Danio rerio: one gene and its partners. The protein of the gene in region 1 purifies or fractionates together with the protein of each later gene. This does not show direct contact. Links are inferred from orthologs where the notes say so. Each region holds a gene or a part of one and is shown on either strand. Other genes may lie near its edges. The genes, in order: rpp30, pop7, pop4, rpp40 and rmp64.

Region 1 (4,173 bases):
CAAATCTCTCAATTCAATTAGTTTAATTCAATTATGACTTTACAATTTTAAAGGCAATAAAAAAATAGCTGTTTACATGTTAGACTTTTAATCAAAGTATTGTGTTAATTGTATAAAGGACTATTGGTGTCCATGTAAACATACTCATTGTATGATTTTGAACCAGCTGAAAATAATTGTGTTTATTTTACATGAACAGATGATGTTCACTAAACATGATTTAAATCTTTCTATTTAACTTAAATGAATGCTTTTTTTGTTGAACTTCAAATAGTCATGTTAAATGAACACATATATTTTAAGCTGGTTTAACATCATACAATGTGGTTAAGATCATTTAGTGTAATTACATAAAGCCCCTGTCCAAAATTAAATCATGCTCAGCCAAAGAGCTATTTTTTGAGTGTGACGTATATTATTTACTGACAACAACTACAGTAATATACCAAATACCAGTTTATCTGTCCAAAACTGCTAAAGGTGATAATACACAGGGCAACCTTTAAAGCAGTGTTGCTGAGCGATGTTGCTTGGCTATTTTGTCATTGAGAATGGCCAACAAAACTGTATCTGAATCCATTAAATCAGTTGTCTGCAATATTTTGAAATCCTCTAATCAGAATGCCAGGAGCGAATCATGTTAGAGCCTTTGACCTGTCAGAACAACTCAAACGAAGTGGCAGCCGCTCTGTGGCGATGGAGACAATGGCTTTGAAACAGTGAATACATTTGCAAAGCTATAGGATTATTTGTTTCAAAGCTTTGTTTATTTCATCTCTACTTTACTATCCCTTAAACCATATCATCGGCACAATGTGAAAAGTTGCTTTTAACATAAGAGGCATTTGAAAAAGTTGTTTAAATGTTTATGCTTTATGAAATTCCGCTAGGTGACCATGTACATAGGTATAGATATGGATAAAATGCAATAACTCACCCCATTAACTGGAGCCCTTTTAAAATGGAAGGGCTGTTTTTCCGTCACTGCAATGCAGATAATGTCAACATCAAAAGTCATGCAGGCTGCCTGGCTCAGGTGAGGGAAAAGACAAAGAAAATGTTAATACCACAATAGATTATATGTTTGATAATCAAAATGTATTTTATATATATATATATATATATATATATATATATATATATATATATATATATATATATATATATATATATATATATATAAATATAAATCAAAAATGATAAACTAATTACCCATTATCCAAAATGTAAAGGGTTAGTTCACTAGGGTTAGGCACTTTTTATTATGGATGATGCACTTTATTGGAATTCTTTTGGACTGCTGATAATCAGCTGACATTTACCATTGCAGAGCTGGAAATCCTACATTTTTAAATAACTTCAATTGAATTTGAGTGAAAGGTAAGGCATATAAGATGCCGTGTGGGTGAGTAACTCATTTTCATTTTAGGGTGAACTAAACCTCAACTAAAACTAAAACACAATGTAGAATTGAAACTACACTTACATGAAAGAGCTTTTCAGTTTTGGGGTACACCGCCACAAGGTCAAATTTTTTGTATTCATTAGTAGGTCTCTAAGGAGAATAACACAAACAGTCTCACCATATAATACTGCAGTATATAATACAATATAATGTGTATAATACTTTAGCACAAATTATATTAGAGTTTACGAAGTATAAACTTACAAAATGTGATGCATCAGATGCCACAATGGTCAATCGATTTAGCACTTTGATTGGAGAAGATTTGCCCTATAACAGAAGAAAAAAATTAATTAAAAAGAACACATCATTGTTAATTATCTCGGAAGATATGTTTAAGCTAATTACCTGGACAACTGGAAATTTATCAAATAAGTCTGAAATACTCTGTGGGTTAGGAATTTCCTGTAAAACAAGAAAATAAGAGCATCATACAAACACACACACACGCACGCACAACTCGATAATGCAGTTTAGTTTAACTCCTCTATATTGTACCTGTTTCTTCTGTAGTGGCTCAACTACATAGTTTATTGCAACCGTTGAGTAGCCAACTGAAAATACAGCAAAAAGTATATGAGCATTAGGGGTTTCTCTAAAAGTACAGCATAATCTATGCATTTCTTAGTCTAACTAATCAAAGTTAGCCATCGCCATTACGTACTGGTTATCCTGCTAGGAGCAGTAGACAGCTGGTAAATAGTAATAATCAGCTAATTATGAAAAGTTGAAATACGTTTTCAATTACTAACAACTTTTGATACAAGATTCAACGTAAAAAGGAAATATCAATAAACACTGTATGAACAATTAATAACGTTTCATACTTCGCTTACACACGTGAACACTAACGTTAGAGAATACAACTGTTATTGCGCCGCATTATAGATATAGTCGGAGATTGAGGTAAAGTTGGTTTTATATTCACACATTCGTTCAGTGACATAAATTGCATACACTTCACAAACTGTGAACAATGCTGTACTTTGATAGTTGTTGACTGCTAATATGATTTTACCATTTACAATGAATACTTTTCTGAAACTATATTATTAATGAGAAAGACTGAATGTGCGAATATAAAACCAACTTTCAATTAGTCGGAGCTGGGAATTTCAGCAATGAAACGTCTGACCTCCAAGAGCTGAGAACAGAATAATTAGTGACGTTTTCCTCATCGTTTGACAGATTATCCGTTTAATGTGCCTAATGTGATTTGCTTGTGTCTGTAATATATCCGACATCCTACTCCAAAGCACTGTTCAAACGGCGTTCTACGCGTTATTTTTAAGTCATGTTAGGGGGAAACCAATCCAAATTGTCTGGATCGTAACTGTACTGCTACTTACGGTGAGCAGCTGTCTCTATGATGTGTTTCAGTCTGTTCTTATCACTACTATTGATGATGTTTAAATCCATAAACACAGACATCTTTCTCCTATTGATGGGATTCGGGAAAAGTGTTCACTGGTAAGTTCATATAAGAATACACCGTTTCAACTACTGAACACACACATCCATGGTACAGAGAACCACATGGTAAAATATGATCTCCTTCGTTTGGTGTTTTTTAAGACTGATAGTAAGCAAATGATAGGTACATTACCGTCACCTACTGGACTGGAGTGAGAGCATTAATGGAATAGAAAGTACAAAATCACAAAAAAACTAATTCCTGGTAAACAGACTTATTATTTTAAAACTGTGTAATTTAAACCACAAAAATACGTTGATTTCTCAAACAAGTTCGATCACAAGATAAAGCGTCAACCTATAACTGAGCCTTGTGGGCTAGTTCCGTTTTACTTTTCCTTACATTAGTTTCGACCGTCCTGTCAGTCAACCAGAACCACAGTATATTTTACTTCCTGTTGGAGGTGGAGCTACGTCTGTAGCGTGCTCTCCAATTGGTCGGATTTAAACAGAAGGAGAACCGCGACCACTGGAAAGAAGCATGTAAGCGATGTAAACGGGATAAACAAAAGGAAATAATAACAATAAGGGAAAAGTAAGTGAAATTATCTGAAATGAAAACACACAGGGAATCGTTTTACATTGTTTCATGCTATTAAACAATGTTGATTAGTTTAATGCGATACGAATAAGGTTAACATGTTTTACGAAAGCTAGTTTTAACGCGTTCGGCAACGTTAGTAAGTTATGAGTCGTTGTTCCATTTGTCGCCACCTAACGTAACGTTAAATACATCTTTATTATTACGCAATAACTTTCTTTATTTAAACGTCAAACTTCTTTACAGGTTTGATCAAGATGATGGAATCGTGTTTAAATCACAAGCCTGACCGTGTCGACTCTATAACGGTTGAAGACCTCCGAAAAGATCTTTTCTCCGAGTTCTCCAAATTATCCAGGGTATTTATTATCTCATCTTCTAAAGCAGTCGAATCCGATTTTTGGCCGAAGCTAACATTTCCTGGTGTACATTTCTCTTTCTAACAGGACTCGGTGTCGCTTGAAAAAGAGCATTTGCAGGTCTATCTCCGCGTACGTCCGTTCACCTCAACAGAGAGAGCTGAAGGAGAATCACAGGTGCTTGCACATTTTTGACAAATCTTTGAAAATATTAAGTTATAAGACTTTTCCCCATGTTCATGTTTAAAACCCCTTATTATAACTTTTAAAAACATGTTAAGTTGAATAGCGACGTCATTTATATTTTCCCTTTTGTTGTTTTTGGAACAACATGA
Region 2 (3,200 bases), on another chromosome or scaffold:
AGAACTGTTAGGAAATTCTCATACAGCAGGTGGCATCATAGACTCACTATTTCGACACCGCTGAACTTTCTTTTAGCATACATTCAAATGTTTTTACCATTTTGATAGTACACTTCTGATAGTATTAGATATTTCCACGTTTAGCATTTGAATTCAAGTAAATAAATCTGATTATATCAGAAACGTGGTTTACAAAGGTAGTTTAATGTTTAGCAAATAAAACAAGAAAAGAAAGAAAACACACAATAACATGCAAAACAGTAAATTATTCATTCATTCATTTTCTTTTCGGATTAGTCCCTTTATTAATTTGGGGTCGCCACAGCGGAATGAAGCGGGATGTCCTTCTAGCTGCAACACAACACTGGGAAAATAGTAAGTTATATAATTTTACATTGAAAATGATACATTAATTATACATTATACATTAAAAATAACAGTTACGCTAATATTTCTCACAGAGGACTGATATCGAACATCTTTAGGTCTAGGATTTGTCAACAACATATTGTTATGTATGTTCTCCAGCTGACAAATAAATTCATACATCACATTTGTCATTAAAGCAGGGAATGGTTGTACTCTTGCCTAACAGAATAATAAAAAAATGAAGCACAATCCTCATAGTCATTTTACACAACCTGCAGCTTAAGGAGACTCTTTCAGCTAAACGTAAAACCACAAAAGAGCTGTATAAAAACAATTACAATTTGCTCTAAAGGGACTTATCTTAACCTGTTATTAATACATAACGTTCTCTCACCTACATATTTGCTTGAGCATACAACTCACGACGTTGCCTGTACATATCATCATTATCTCTTATTTTATTGTTAACGATAAAGATATGCCCTGGATGTTTTACAATTTTTAATACATTTAAAAAGTGATATGATAATAAAAATCATAAAACTGTCTTCTTTGTTTTTACATATCACACAAACAGTTAAAAATACACATTTTATTTTTCAGATATCAGATAATGTAAAATTACTCAACACACCAGTGCCCAGTTGAGTTGGGTCTTTTCTTCTCCTCTGCAGCCTCTCTCGTAGTGAATCCAGCTGCTTTTTGTGCGCCTGGATGTGACTCCATGTGTCCGACATGGCTTAAATTAAACGAGCTAAACAGCAAATAAACAAACAGTACTGATTAAACAGGGGTTTTATGAAGTTTAGATTACATCTAGCAAACTAACGCTGAGTGACTGTACCACCATACACACCGTGCCGCTAAACTGTTTCTATTTTCAAAATAAGAGACACTAACTATATTTACTGATTAGCAACGATCTCGTTCATACAGGTACTTTTATATTTTTACGTATTTTAACTCATATATATTTTTAATTAGGATTCAATTATAACTATTTGATATACGAAATAAAAATAGATATTTCCCCACCAAGAAAAGAACAGTATGTATTTTGTAATCACATAGTGTATTACTTCCAGTGTACGCAAGACGTCTTCCGGAATGAGAGATAAGACAGATCTGTAAATAAGCAGATTCTTTATCTACCAGGAATTAAGCGCGGATCTGAAACAAGCTCTTCTAATTCAAGGTACTACTCTTACTCAAAATCCCAAATTATACATCAAACATTATATATTAAAATCTATATCCACTAACTTAAGTGGCAATGAATTGGAAATGTTTGTGTAAATGAGAACCTGCTTCGTAAACAAAATGTTTCTCGAATGTGATGTGGATGTAATATCTTATTTAATATACAGCGTTATACCCTGAAATATAATGCACGCCCAGTGTATATAGCCATTCACGAATGGATGATTCATATGAGTCGGTTCATTGTGGGGAATCGTTTAAATACATGTCGTTAAAATATAATTCACACATCATTTATATGTAAAATTGTTACGAGTCTTATCTTTAAAACGCGAATTAATGTTCTGTTTGTGCAGCACCTTTCAGGTGATTCGACATGGCTGAGCCACGAAGCCCGGTGTCCGCTTCTGTGCCCCACAATCCAATAGTCCTGGCTGCCCCCGAGGGCTCGACCCTTGAGATGGACCCAATAGAGTTCACCCTCCGCAAGCGACTGCCTCGCAAACTGCCCAAACGGAGGAACGACGTCTATGTCAACATGAAGACTGACTTCAAGGCTCAGCTAGCGAGGTGTCAGAAACTTCTGGACGCTCACAGGGAAATCTGCATCCACGGCCTGGGACTGGCCATCAACCGGGCTATAAACATCGCTCTGCAGCTCCAGACGTCCAGCCAGGGCGCCCTGCAACTCGCCGCAAACACCTCCACGGTGGAGCTCATCGACGACCTGGAGCCTGAAGATCCGGACGAGGCCGGAGAGCATCTGACCCGTACCCGGAATAACTCGGCCATCCATATCAAGGTGTTTTACCCCAATCCGTAGTTTCAGCTTCAGTGTCAATATAATGAATGAGGGCTTCATGAACAATTGTATGACGTTAGTGGCATGTAGAAGTTTTTTAAAGTGATGCATTATTTATGATTTTTTTCTGCTTCAAGACTTTTTTTTTAATTAATTGCTGTGTTATTGAATGTTTTATTTGAAAAACAAGAAAGAAATGTGCCATATGTATTTTTTTCTACTATGTATTTGTGTTCTTGTGTATAGTAAACTTAAATGGAAAGTAAACAGCTTAAATGCAAAGTAAACAGCCCCACCAACACTTTGTTGATTGTATCTTCCTGCATGTGTATGCATATTAAGACAACAATATATTTTAGATATTATTATTATTAATTTTATAAAAGGGATAGTTCACCCAAAACTGAAAATTCTCTCATAATTTTCTTCATCCCTTTACCTGTCAGAAACTTGTTTGAGTTTTTGTTTCTGTTGAACAAGAAATAAGAAGAAAATTTACAAAACTGTGACCATTGACTTCCATAGTGTTTGATTTCTACTTTGGAAGTCGATAGTTACAACATTATAACATTTTTCAAAATATCTTCTTTAATGTTCAACAGAAAGAGGAATCTCATAAAGGTATGAAACCAAGTGATTGTGAGTAAATTTTCACTTTTGGGTGAACTGTCCTATTAATAAGAATATAATGATGGCAAACCAGTATATAATAAAGGTAAAAAAAAAAAATAAATAAAAATAAAAATAAATAAATAAATATATATATATATATATATATATATATATATATATATATATATATATATATATATATACATACATACATACA
Region 3 (4,225 bases), on another chromosome or scaffold:
TTTTGTCAGCTCATGCATTGCTCCATTTGGATCAAAAAGCTGCCCATGAACACACCAAACACCACAGTCAGCAGTATCGGTTTCCTGTTTCTGAACAGCAAACCCAGAACTTCCATAGCACAGTATTTAGTACCATCACAGTAATAGTCACTCACCACTGAGGGATCAGCTCCTGCAAATATGTCTGATAATCAAATTATTTATATTGTTTGCAAAAAAAAAAAAAAAAAAATAGAAACATAGTGCAATTAAAGCTGACCTCTTTGTGTTTCTTCTTGGCTTGATTTGTTTACTTGCTACTTCACATTCTAGAGCCCCAGTCAGAGCACTCTCTTCAGTCGACGGCCATGCTGAATCATCCAACATGCTCAAACATTAATCCGACTGAGTTGGGCAGCTCAGGTTTTACTTTTTTTTGGACACAATTCAGCTTACCAGCCAGGCTGGTCAAATCTAGCCATGAAACCTCCAACTCCAACAATATTGCAAAAACTAAATTTACTAAATACAATTTTAACTCAAATGTAAATATATATATTTTTTGTTTCTCCTGATTTTCCCTCTTTATTAAAAATGCATTTAATATTTTTCCTAACATTTTTATTTGGGTGTAATAATTTTTGGAGCTTCTTTTAAATTATTTTGCAAAGCTCCAGGTATGGCTTTGGTGAGTAATTTATATGCACAAATATAATAGCATCCTAGAAAATATTCATTTAAAAGAGGGATCTTTCTCTGGGTTTAATCATATATTTTATATATATATATATATATATATATATATATATATATATATATATATATATATATATATATATATATATATATATATATATATATATATATATATGTTTTGTTATTACAGACATGAACTTAATCAATATTTGTATGTAGGCTATGTTATTTTTATTGTATGTCTGTTACTTTTATTGTCTACATGTAGGTTTATCGAACATTTTAACATTTAAGTTTTTTAAGTATGTTAGTCATGCAATAGCCTATTATTAGATATACAATGTTTATTAAGTTTTTTGTACTTTATTTGTTTACATAAATAATGATATTGATATAATTATATAAGATAGCCTATTGTGTAATTTAAAAAATATGCTGGGATACCAATGAGCAAAACGTTGGTATTTTCCTTGGAGACTGTGGTAATGTGGAAACGCTCTGTGTTTATACATATATTTTAAACTTGACCAATGCTCAACCATAGACTGTGCTCCACACTGGATCATGCATGAAATGATATTGCATCCCCTTTAAAGAATTTTAAAGCAAAGGTGTTATGACGTATAAAAAACAGAAGATGGCAGTAGTGCAACATGAAGAATGCAAGGTAAAACACGAAAGAAGAAGAAGAAGATCAGCTCATCTGTTTTGGCAGCACGTTTTTTCTACAGCGGGAGTGTTTTAATTCCGGTGTCTTCAGCTTTTGAGCTATGGAACGTTAGTGTTAAATTGGTTTTACTTTTGTCATGATCATTTTAATGTTGGGTTGCTGAATGTGTTTGTTTTGCAGTTTATCGATACTGTTTTTCTGTGAAATTTTATTCTACTCATTACAAGAGGATGGTCTGTCGTAATTTTATGTATGCTAACGTTATATTTTTCACAGGTGTGCTGCAGTCAGAAATCCCCTCAGATCAAAGTCATCTTTTGGGAGTTGAGGTGATGTATGTTCAGTATTGTTAACCATCATTTACCAGTTTACTCGCAGTTAGACACCGCATTTAATCAGCTTTATTTATTAACCATCTGTTATTGCATACATTATGCTGTAAAGAAGTGTGTCAGTTTGCATTTAGTAAAAATAATGTACAGTGTTACTTGGCATATATAACTTTTATATTTAGTATGTCTCTTGAGGTTTAAGTTTCTTTATTTTTCTTTTTTATTTAGCCTACTATAAAGATGTGTTGTATTACTTATGAAATAAACAACTACCACTTAAAATATTTCTATTTTTATTTATATTTGTATATTTTTGACCTCAGATTTGGCTCTTTATATAAAGGAAGCATAGACTACGTTAGCATGTATATCAGTAATCAAATTAACTCCCCTAATCTGAAAATAATAATAATATGATGGTGTTTATATGAGTTGCTTTTCTGAATGTTCCTTTCATGATCCCGTTTTTTTCTTCTTTTCGTTTTATAGCACATAATTCGATAAACATCATTGCATCACCACACTTTCCACATTTTCTCTAGTTTCATGTCTCTTTGGGTGTTTAATTAAACATTTTTCGCCTTAAAGTCTACGTTCATGTATGAAGCATGCATGAAGCTGGTTCTTCACTGACTCTATAGGTGTAGAGAATAGAAAATATACAGAAAGTCCTACATGACAGTAATAGTTTGATTTGAGTGTTTACATGTATGTTCTGCACTTCAATAATGCTACTAAATCAGCGTTATCCACATGTTTTAATTCGATTTCTGTTTAGCACTGTTATGACCATAATTTGATTAAGTGAATTAAAAAATTGCTGTTTATATGGTAGACTCTTAATCTGAGTATTGTCTTAATCTTATTGAAATCAGATTATTGGTGTCCATGTAAACACACTTGTAGAGAGGAACAATTGAAGAGTTTAAATGCAAAAACCTCTTAGGTGCTATCAGAAATTTTCATCTAAAATGAGCATTTTTCTCAGGCTGTTGTGTGTAGTTTCAGTAATTTTACTCTGTGTTGAAAGAATAAGTTATTGTCATTGCCTTTTAAAGTGAAATAACTCTACTTAAACATAGGAGGCTGAGAAAAATGCACATTTTAGAGAGGAAAATTTCAGACTACGCAACACTTTTTGCATCTGAACTCTGTTTATGTACATTTTTGTTCATTTAAATAAAAAGTGTAGTAAATTGCAGTATTTACTCAGATAATGCTGCTTAATCAAAAGAAAAACTTTTTCTTTCTAAAGGGCGTCATACACCGGATGTGGCGCAACACCGTGCGCACATGGCAGTGGAAAGTATCGCACACCAGATGCGCACGTTCGCATGCTATTCAGTGTCCTGAGTCATAGGTGGGCGCTGCTGACAGCCCCCGACTTGCGACACTGGTGTGCATACCTAATCTAATAGAAACCTATGTTTAGAATTATAAAATGCATGGCGCTACATGGCGCGGCACTTCTGGTGAGTGACCCCCTTTACTCATTCTCAGTGTTTACATATACTGTAGGCCAGGGGTGTCCAAATTCAGTTCTGGAGGGCCGGTTTCTGCATATTTTTGTTCTAACCCCAATTAAACACACATGAACCAGCTAATCAAGCTCTTTCTAAGTATACTACGCACTTGAGGCCGTAGTAATAAAGAACTGTAGTAGTAAAGAATTAGAACTTCCTCTCTCTTGTTTAAAGGCTGTCCAAAATATGCAGTGCTTCTGCTTTTCTTTTTAATTTTGCAAGCTCCTTTGAATTTTGCTTGATTTTGTGTTAAATTAATTGTGTTAAATCTGTTATCAGTCGCAGCATTACAACATCCCAGAGGGACTGACTAATGCTGATAAATTCACACTGTATGATGTACAGAAATTTTGCAAACCAGTGAACTGTGGAATGTGGCTTTTTACAGTCTCAACATGGCACAGATGCAGAGGCTTTCACAAAAGCATTTGTCAAGAATAGCATTCCCCATATGAAAGACGCAGCTATCGAGGATATGATGGCACGCAAGGCAGTGGTCCTGGAATATAAAAGACCAAAGAAAAAGGTGAAGAAGGTAAAAGCCAAGGGACTGAATGCCAAAGAAAGAAGACGGCTGCAAATATTCCAGCTTAAGCCTGAACATCAAAAGTGGGTGTTGGAGGTTTCATTATAGCTTGATTCTTACACTTATAGAAATGTATTGTGTTTAAAAGTTCTGCTTATTGTATGATTCTGATTGTAGATATGAACTCTTCTTACCTCTGCATAAGCTGTGGAAAAGCTATATTGAGGATCTGTGCAATGGATTGAAACCAGGAAGGTATAAGGAAGATGCTCTTCAGAGTTTTAGGCTTGTGGATATTTCATTTCCAGTCTTGCTTACACTCCCTGAATGTGCTGCTTGCTTGTGTCTTCTGAATACAGCAACCCACAGGTGATCCAGCAGAAGCTCTTGAAAGCTGATTTCCATGGTGCTATATTAACAGGTACGCCGTCATGCACATTTGGAAATGTCAACCCACAAAGGCACATTTTGTAGTTCAGCTGCTGTATTTCCAGAATTT
Region 4 (4,341 bases), on another chromosome or scaffold:
TTATATAATTTACAAATTTCAGTTGTTTTTAAAGCCTTTTTTGTAAAAGAGTTAGACACTGTTTCAAAGTAATACTGCATTTCAGTAAGCAAAATATAAAAAAAAGGTTTTTGGTTTGAAAATTTACATTTATGGATATAAAATTTTGTTAATAAGACAAGAAGATTAAGAAAATATTTTTTCTTTTTATGTAAAGTCCCCGTTCCATAATCAACAAAACCAAATAAAACATTCTCCCACAGCAAGGAAAATTCCTCATCAACATTCTCAATTATAAAAAGTGAGAAGTCTTTCCAAAGCAACCTAGTGTAATTGCATTGCCAAAATAAGTGAACCAGGGACTCAGGGTGCTGCCCACAAAATGAACAATTAATATTAAGATCTTTTTTATATCGTACTAAAAGAGTATTGACTGGGTATGTACGGTGAATAATTCTGAATGAAACTTCTTTTATCTTATTTGTAATTAAGTAGTTATTTGGGGTGAGCCATATTTTTCTCCAATCAATATCCGAAACAAAAGAATTCCAATAAAAAGTAACATTTGGAACTGATACAGTTCCATTATAAAAAACGTATTGTTTTGTTTGAAGAAGTTGCAGAGAAACAACATTTTCCAATCATTGTAGTAGAAGGGTCTAAAAGAGGTAAAACAGAAGGATAGGGGATGCCTTGGAATAATCTAATAACACCAGATGGTATAGCATCAAATACCACAGCAAATTCTTTAGGGGGGATGGGTATATTGAATCGATTAAGAAATTCGTTATAATTTAATAAATGGCCATTTGAGTTAAATAATTGACTAACAAGCAGAATATTTGCTTCAAACCAGCGCTGAAAGAAAAGAGATTTGTTTTTATATACAATCTTTAGGTTGTTCCAAATAAAATATTTGTGAGGAGAAAAGTTGTGCTTGTATAATAGTGACCAGGCAAGAAGAAATTGTTTATGAAATTGAGATAATTTAGCTGGTATTTTCTCAACATTATAGTTACAGAGTAATAAGAAATTAAGCCCTCCAAATTTAGAAAATATGTAATTTGGAATAAAATTCCAGATTGAGGTTGGATTTTTGAGAAAAATTTTCCCCATTTAATTTTGATAGTATTATTAAATGTACAAAAATCCAGCATATTAAGACCCCCATTCTCAAAGCTATTCATAATTACCGATTTTTTTATATAATGGATACAATTTTTTCCAAATAAAATTAAATAATATTTTATCAGTTATATTATTTTATCGTTTTCAAAGACTCGCGAACTGCTGCTCGAGTTCTGCTGACAGCAGGAACTGACGTCAAACCTTTGCGACAGGCGAAGTTGCCACTATTTTGAAACATTAAACAGGCGCGCCGATGCAGTTTAGTGTAATAAACTCGTTTCTTTATTTCGCTGCTTGATGTAACAACAATGTAAGTATTTTGTACAGATATTAAAATGTCGCCAGAGCTGGAAAAGTGCCCGAGAAACCTGCTGGTGTGCGAGAAATCAAACTTCTTGAATGAAAAGTCTCGGCATGACATCCACGTGTCGAAGCACAGCTTTAACTACAAGGCAAGTTTCAACACGAGACATGTGCTCAGCATAGCGACTTTGATTGTAAACATTGACCGTGATGGTTTACTAAGGGAATGCGTTTCCCGCAGACCTCAGTGCTGATTCCTGAATGCGGGATCCTGCCTGCTAACATCAGCAGTGCCTTCAGCAGCTTCAGCCCTTATTATTTAGTGCGGGACCTGCCTGTATATGAACTGCTGGAAGAAACATTTCTGGAGTCGCTCGTGAAGAAAGGTTCAAGAAATGTCCATTGCTAACGTTTTTGTGTAATACGCTACATAACACGAGCTAAAGACGTATACAGCATTGGTTCATTTCAGATTGTTTCAATGTGTATTAATCCAGAGCTGTTTGTTCACACTAATACTAATAATTAGAATAATAATACACACATTAGTCACATACTGTATATAGAACACAACATATAGAAACATTGCATGCATTGTACAACAATCACAAACAACAAGACTAAAAGTCTTGCAAGTGAGATTGTGAGCAATAAGATGATGGCAGCTGGACTAAACAGTCTTAAACAGTTGTGACTTGTAAGCTTGTGAACTAACATGAGCAAAAACAAAAGGTAGCTATTTTATGTTTACTAACATTAAAGTTAACAATGCTGAAAAAGAATTATTTCTTATTTTTAGCTAAAGTGTTTATGTGAATGTAAGAATCTGTTACTGATTTTTATTTATTCATTTATTTTTACACAGGACATTTCTATGCACTCTCTTACAACACCAAAATTGATGAAGATAATTCCATTGCACTTCTTTCCAGTGGTAAGACATGCACTTGTGCTGTGATTCTAACAAAGCTGCTTTATTTTATTGAACTGAGTTAATCAGGTTAATTCATTCAGTACTTTAAATGACTTTAAATTTGTCTTGCAAAGAAAACCAATAATATGACAACAAGATGACATTCAGACAACATAATATTTTATCTTTATAATTTAATGGAAAGAAATAGTTTTAAGAAGTTAAAGATAATAAAATAAAAATGTAAAATCTGCACTCATCTGCATGAAAAGAATAAATAAAATCTTTCAAACAGAACAAACGAAAAATGTTGAGTACAACAATATCAATTTCTGTAACAGTTTTTAGGCTATATTTTTTTTCGAACAAACCTCCGTTATACAATAACTTGCCTAATTACCCTAACCTACCTAGTTAACCTAATTAACCTAGTTAAGCCTTTAGATGTCACTTAAAGATGTATAGAAGTGTCGTGAAAAATATCTAGTCAAATATTACTTACTTTCATCATGGCAAAGATAAAAAAAATCAGTTATTAGAGATCAGTTATTAAAACTATTGTGTTTAGAAATGTGTTGGGAAAAAAACGGGGAAAAAAATAAACAGGGGTTGAATAATTCTGACATCAACTATATATATATATATATATATATATATATATATATATATATATATATATATATATATATATATATATATATATATAAGCCAGTGATGTTCTGTAATCCAAGCACTGCGTTTATTATTAATAAACAACTCTATAATACACGCTTTTGCTTATTTGTGGCATTCTGAGATTTTTTATTCTTATCTGAGCATCTTTTTCCACTTTATGTCACTTTTTATTGATTATATTGAAATTGAAATGCATTACTTATCAATTAAACACTGTCAAGTGGTTTCAAACTTTGCATTTGTTGAAGACAAAAGAAAAACTTTTTTTTTAAATGCCTGAAACTGGTAGCCAGTGATAGGAGAAATAAATGCGCTAGAAGGCAATGATTACAAGTCGTCAACATTGTTTATAATATCTTTATTCATGTTCAGTAGAAGAAATAAACTGAAACGGGTTTGGAACAAGTGAAAGCTGAATGATGACAAGAGAAAACAGAATTGTCATTTTAGGGTGAACTGTAACTTAACAGTACCATATATTGCTGGTATTGTGCAAAATCAACAGGCCAAAAACATACATATTCCCTAAAATAAGTAATTGTTTTTTTATTTAAACAAATAAATATATTAATGATGTATTGACCTTATTCCTCAATGCAGAAGTGTGCTTGTTTTTGGGATTGTTTTAGAACTTCCGATTCAGTTGCCAATGGTAGAAATTGTCATTTTTGGGTGAACTGTAACTTTACAGTACCATATATTGCTGGTATTCAACAAAAAAATCAACAATGTAAATCAACAGGCTGAATATACATAATCCCTAAAATAATTCATTGTTTTTTTTTTATAAAAAAAAAAAAAATAATGGTTTATTGACCTTATTCCTCAATGCAGAAGTGTGCTCGTTTTTGGGATTGTTTTAGAACATCCGATTCAGTTGCCAATGGTAGAAATTACTACGAATAATAAATGACAAAAAACAGTCAAACTACATGCTCTACAAACAAGTGTGTTCATGACTATGCTGACAAAGCAGAATAATATAATAAGACAATATCAGTGTTCAACATTAAGCAGCAGAATGTTGTTTAAAGTCAATGGAAGTGATTGAGGCCCGAAGTTTCGAGCCAAAAAGACGGCACCCCCTTGTACACGAAAAATAAGGTGAATATGCACAGCTAGTGTTTTTTAACCCCCAATAAATGCCTAGTGAAGGCTATATGTGACTGTTTTAAATTTCATACAGTACCTTTTACAGCATTATGTTGTAATGTAATTAAAATATAATCAGTTAAATAGACTTAAGTATTCATTTAGTTGTTCAAGTGGAAAATGCACAGAGCACAGGTCATGAACACAGAAACACCATTGAAAATACTGTGGTAAAAGAAATGTTCTTATTT
Region 5 (4,459 bases), on another chromosome or scaffold:
CATTATACACATTTTATTTGCATTGGGAAATTATATAAAAGCCAAAACAGTATAATACTGTTTTGTATTGTATTATATTATAGTGTAAATTTAATATAATAATACAGAAACTTTAAGACTTGTATGCAATTTATTCTCAAATAAATGTGTCTTTAAGTATAAGAACTGGTTAAGAGAACATTACAAATAAAGAACAAAGCTTTTATTTTCAAAGTCATCTTTTTAACTATTTAAGAATGAATATAAATTTTATTTCCATATTTTAGGATTTGAGAATGGAGTTCTTCAGCTAATAAGTCGTTGGATTTGTTTATTTAGATGATTTAAGAATGTATAACTCTTCATAAATGCATGTTTTAGAGAACAGTTGTTCATTTACTTATTACCTTAAACAAAAAAACATATAATAAGCTTGCAATAATGCACTTTGGAAAAGTCTTCTTCAACATTTTTAAGCAAATGGACAGGGCAAAATGCGCAAAAGATTTTTTTTTTTTTGTTCAATGCAAGAAAGAACGTTTACAAAAATTATTGTTAATTAAACTTAACAAGTTTAAGTGATTTACACCAAGAAAGAGTTTTACAAGCAATATAATTGCTAGAATAATTAAAGGAGTTAACATATAAATATAAAAGTCCTTTCTGAAAATAAAAAAGTTTTAAATTTGCTATAAGAAGGATCTAAGTTCAGAGAGTAAACGAAGAATAATTTTTTTGGGGAAATAAAAACGTTTGGAAACAAGATTTTTTAATGAAATTGGAAAAGTCAACTCAAAACACTTTATATACACTCTCAAAATAAATGATTTAGTGATTTGAAGTTTACTCGTATTGAGAACAAATTGAGCATTTAGGGGAAATATTCTTATTGAATTTAGCTAGTTTGGTATTTATATGGTAGCAATTAAGAATGACTTGGATTGAGACTTCGACAGCTTTATTAGATATATTTTTTTCCCCCGAAGAAGCCAAAACTGTTTCCAAACTATATCGCCATCTATTATTTCAAAAGCGCAAAAGAATGTTGTTTTTTTTTTTTTTTATAAACTTAAAGAAACTGTATAATACAATTTAGAATACAGTAAAAGATAACAGTTCTTTAACACATTAATCACATTACATACACAAGATAAAGAGCAAAACCAAAACACATTACATAAAAAATAATAATAAAAAACGTAAAAAGTTAAAAGACAGCGCAATAAAAAAGAGATAAATATTCAAGTAGCATGATCACATCATATTTGCTCAAGTAAGAAGCACTTTTCTTATTTTCAGTTAATCTAAGAGATTTAAATAAATGTTCTATTTCACACAGGAAGTCTATAAAGATTGGATTTTTTTAAGGAACCTCTGTTTGTGAAAGTAAAATTTCCCAGCAAGAATAAGAAAGTTCACAGTGGCTTCTAACGACTTGTTTTGGTAAGCGCACAAGAATGGTGTGCTTGTACCTTTATGCACTATGACGTATTCGCACACACAAGCATATGATTGGCTGGTTTTCTCTCCCCGGCAGTCAGCTGTAAACATGGCGCAGGAGTGCTGGAATAAAATAAACATTCCGTTTCCAAGTGCTGTCTCTTCGACTCGAATCCCATTTACGGATTCGATAGGTATGTTTCGATGTTTTAAAATATCGGTATTACTACATTTTTTATAAAATTGAAACCACACACACATCGCTCAAATAAATTCACAGAGTAGAGTGTTTTAGCGCTTGACGAGAACACGTGGATCCGCAAGATTCACGTGAAACACTTTTAATAAAACATTTAACTCATGACATTTAGATAGTTGCTTCGATCAGCAAAATATATATTTACTATTGTTAGTTCAGGCTGTTGTTTTGTTTTATATAAACAATTTCTTCGTACGATAGATAACAATGTTACATTCTGTAATGCATCTGCACCAGTTTATAATGTTTATCATGTGGTTAAAAAAAGGTCAAGCAGTTGATTGATTTACATTAAGCATTTCAAATATTTTTTGTCATTACACGTTTTCTAATATTTTCTGTGACCCTGAACCACAAGATCAGAAAAATATGGGTCAATTTTTAATGAAGCTCATCATTTGAAAAAAATTAACTAAAAGTTTCCCAGTGCTTTGTTTGGATCGGACAATATTTGTCAGACATTTAACTATGAAAAAAAATCTAAATATTAAGAAATTGACTTTTAAAGTTGCCCAGATTTCGTCCTTACCAATGCATTTTAATAAAATATATAATACACCCAACATGTAAATTATACAAAATGGTTAGTAATTAAACTAAAAATAAATAATTGTATCAATTTTAATACACATATGTTATGTATTAATATGTGCTCTGGATATTTTCTTTCTGTTTGACTTAAAAAATAAATTTATGCATTTTAATACTCAAACATTTTGCATTAATCTGTAATCTGAACTGTTTTTGATATTTTCCTTCCGTTAGACAAAAATAAAGAATATTTACAGGTGCAGGAAATAAATGCTGTTGCTGTGTGTATATGTGTTTGTTTTTGCCTGAAGTGTCTCGTTCTAACTTATTTTAAGTGCCTTATTATATGTGTTACATGTATAATACATGTGCAGTCAGACACTTTTCTTTTCTGTCTAGATCTCTTGATTGATTGCTTGCTGGCTGACTGTGAGAAAGTGTTGACCCTGTTATGTAGTGAAGTTCTTCAGACAGAAATCCGTGTGCTGTACGAACTGCTTTACATTTTGAACAATGGCTTCAGACAACACAAGCCATTCCGTGCATTAAAGCAGGTGAGAGCCAGTCCTGTAATACACACACACACAGGTCAAAAACTAAATTTCACATTTTTGGTATCCTAATCTAGTTAACCATTTGCAGATTGGATTTTATATAGAAAGAAAAATAAATTCAAAATAAAAGTAGTGTCTATTTTAATAACTTGTTAAAATATTAAAATATGGGTGAAATAATGTTTCATTGTGTTTGTGTGCAAACATTCAACAATTCTTATTTTGACCTCTACCTCTTTAAAAATGTTTAATTAATTAAAAAAACATTTTGCTGACAAATGTGTAAAAAGTTTGAAGGTTGTATCTTGGGACTGCACTGTTGTCCTTAAAGTATTTTAATTTTAATATCAATGATTATTGCTTTAGTCATGAATGACAAGATGTTCTGGTAAATTATACTATTGTTACATTAAATATTTCAGGTGATCTGTTCTGCATATCATGATAATAGTGTAGTTATTTATATTTCACAGATGAACAGACGCAATTCATTCATTCAATCATTTTCTTGTCGGCTTAGTCCCTTTATTAATCCGGGGTCGCCACAGCGGAATGATCCGCCAACTTATCCAGCAAGTTTTTACACAGCGGATGCCCTTCCAGCCGCAACCCATCTCTGGGAAACATTCACAAACACACACACACACACACACACACACACACACACACACACACACACACACACGCACACACACACGCACACACACACACACTCATACTTTACGGACAATTTAGCCTACCCAATTCACCTGTACCGCATGTCTTTGGACTGTGGCGGAAACCGGAGCACCCGGAGGAAACCTACGCGAACGCAGGGAGAACATGCAAACTCCACACAGAAACGCCAACTGAGCCGAGGCTTGAACCAGCGACCTTCTTGCTGTGAGGCGACAGCACTACCTACTGCGCCACTGCTTTGCCCAGACGCAGTTTAATGTATGAAAAAAATGTAGCCACATTGTGATGCTTACAACCCTGCTTGCCTTTTTACTCATAGTTACAGATGTTACAAATAATACTGCATCATTTTTTCTTGTTCATGATAAAATACTTATCAGATTTACATGATCTGCAGGTTGAGCAATGTGTAAACCGTTTAAAAGAGATGAAGTTACAAGCAGCGGTGGAAGATCTGAAGGAAGTGTGTCCAAACAAATTTCAGAGGTAAGGTCAAAGTAATGACACAATAGCCGTGTTTCCACTATCTCACCTAAAGCGAGCCAAGGCCAGTCACGTTTTCACTGTCACTTCCGGAGCCTGATCAGGCCAAAGCGGGGCTTTCTCTGGGCCAGCATCTGGCCTTTTTCAGCCGAATAACTTGGGCCAAATTGGACCAGCTAGGGCTTTGGGGCAGACTTAGCCCGAGTCTGTTAAAGATGGCATGCCGTCACTACACTAGATTTTCGATGGCACTCAACACGAGTACATGCGGCAAACAAATTAAATAAATAAATAAGGGAAAGAAAACATATAATGAAATTTTTAATGTAGTGCTTTATTAATGAATAGCTGTTGAGCAAATTGAAATATAGGCTATATTTTATTACTTGCTCTTATGTGCAGAAACACTTAACACTTTCTATTACTTAATATAAGCGAATAATATGCAACATCCTTAAATAAAGGGGAATCATCTATTAAGTGTCACATAGCCTAGGGAATAATTTATATGTTTTCCATCTCTCTGGAGCATTTG

The links.
Region 2: the proteins of rpp30 (region 1) and pop7 purify together in Homo sapiens (co-immunoprecipitation; 4 studies listed by BioGRID and IntAct, counting the BioPlex papers as one, with this or other methods). This does not show direct contact. The link is inferred for Danio rerio from reciprocal best matches to the Homo sapiens genes RPP30 and POP7.
Region 3: the proteins of rpp30 (region 1) and pop4 purify together in Homo sapiens (affinity purification with mass spectrometry; 4 studies listed by BioGRID and IntAct, counting the BioPlex papers as one, with this or other methods). This does not show direct contact. The link is inferred for Danio rerio from reciprocal best matches to the Homo sapiens genes RPP30 and POP4.
Region 4: the proteins of rpp30 (region 1) and rpp40 purify together in Homo sapiens (affinity purification with mass spectrometry; 3 studies listed by BioGRID and IntAct, counting the BioPlex papers as one, with this or other methods). This does not show direct contact. The link is inferred for Danio rerio from reciprocal best matches to the Homo sapiens genes RPP30 and RPP40.
Region 5: the proteins of rpp30 (region 1) and rmp64 purify together in Homo sapiens (affinity purification with mass spectrometry; 3 studies listed by BioGRID and IntAct, counting the BioPlex papers as one, with this or other methods). This does not show direct contact. The link is inferred for Danio rerio from reciprocal best matches to the Homo sapiens genes RPP30 and RMP64.

What each region holds. Positions count from the first base shown.
Region 1 is NC_133187.1:18,040,341-18,044,513, forward strand, and holds the start of rpp30 (ribonuclease P protein subunit p30), read right to left. Parts: upstream 2,981-4,173; 5' UTR 2,897-2,980; coding exon 2,815-2,896; exon of another isoform or gene 2,130-2,814; intron 2,020-2,129; coding exon 1,964-2,019; intron 1,871-1,963; coding exon 1,814-1,870; intron 1,736-1,813; coding exon 1,670-1,735; intron 1,556-1,669; coding exon 1,487-1,555; intron 1,028-1,486; coding exon 938-1,027; intron 1-937. Other genes in the region: kif20bb (kinesin-like protein KIF20B), read left to right, coding at 3,737-3,838, 3,926-4,015. UniProt on the Homo sapiens protein: Component of ribonuclease P, a ribonucleoprotein complex that generates mature tRNA molecules by cleaving their 5'-ends. Also a component of the MRP ribonuclease complex, which cleaves pre-rRNA sequences.
Region 2 is NC_133182.1:21,870,711-21,873,910, forward strand, and holds pop7 (ribonuclease P protein subunit p20), read left to right. Parts: upstream 1-1,490; 5' UTR 1,491-1,564; intron 1,565-1,925; 5' UTR 1,926-1,945; coding exon 1,946-2,392; 3' UTR 2,393-2,658; downstream 2,659-3,200. Other genes in the region: N(6)-adenosine-methyltransferase subunit METTL3, read right to left, coding at 1,004-1,106. UniProt on the Homo sapiens protein: Component of ribonuclease P, a ribonucleoprotein complex that generates mature tRNA molecules by cleaving their 5'-ends. Also a component of the MRP ribonuclease complex, which cleaves pre-rRNA sequences.
Region 3 is NC_133182.1:47,660,925-47,665,149, forward strand, and holds the start of pop4 (ribonuclease P protein subunit p29), read left to right. Parts: upstream 1-1,361; 5' UTR 1,362-1,445; coding exon of another isoform or gene 1,446-1,452; intron 1,453-1,621; coding exon of another isoform or gene 1,622-1,674; 5' UTR 1,675-1,679; intron 1,680-3,588; coding exon of another isoform or gene 3,589-3,651; coding exon 3,652-3,809; intron 3,810-3,903; coding exon 3,904-3,981; intron 3,982-4,085; coding exon 4,086-4,147; intron 4,148-4,225. UniProt on the Homo sapiens protein: Component of ribonuclease P, a ribonucleoprotein complex that generates mature tRNA molecules by cleaving their 5'-ends.
Region 4 is NC_133177.1:26,941,077-26,945,417, forward strand, and holds the start of rpp40 (ribonuclease P protein subunit p40), read left to right. Parts: upstream 1-1,373; 5' UTR 1,374-1,442; coding exon 1,443-1,559; intron 1,560-1,651; coding exon 1,652-1,796; intron 1,797-2,275; coding exon 2,276-2,344; intron 2,345-4,341. UniProt on the Homo sapiens protein: Component of ribonuclease P, a ribonucleoprotein complex that generates mature tRNA molecules by cleaving their 5'-ends. Also a component of the MRP ribonuclease complex, which cleaves pre-rRNA sequences.
Region 5 is NC_133184.1:29,061,359-29,065,817, reverse strand, and holds the start of rmp64 (nucleolus and neural progenitor protein), read left to right. Parts: upstream 1-1,504; 5' UTR 1,505-1,528; coding exon 1,529-1,613; intron 1,614-2,608; coding exon 2,609-2,763; intron 2,764-3,838; coding exon 3,839-3,927; intron 3,928-4,459. Other genes in the region: tex30 (testis-expressed protein 30), read left to right, coding at 1,319-1,363. UniProt on the Homo sapiens protein: May play a role in cortex development as part of the Notch signaling pathway. Downstream of Notch may repress the expression of proneural genes and inhibit neuronal differentiation thereby maintaining neural progenitors.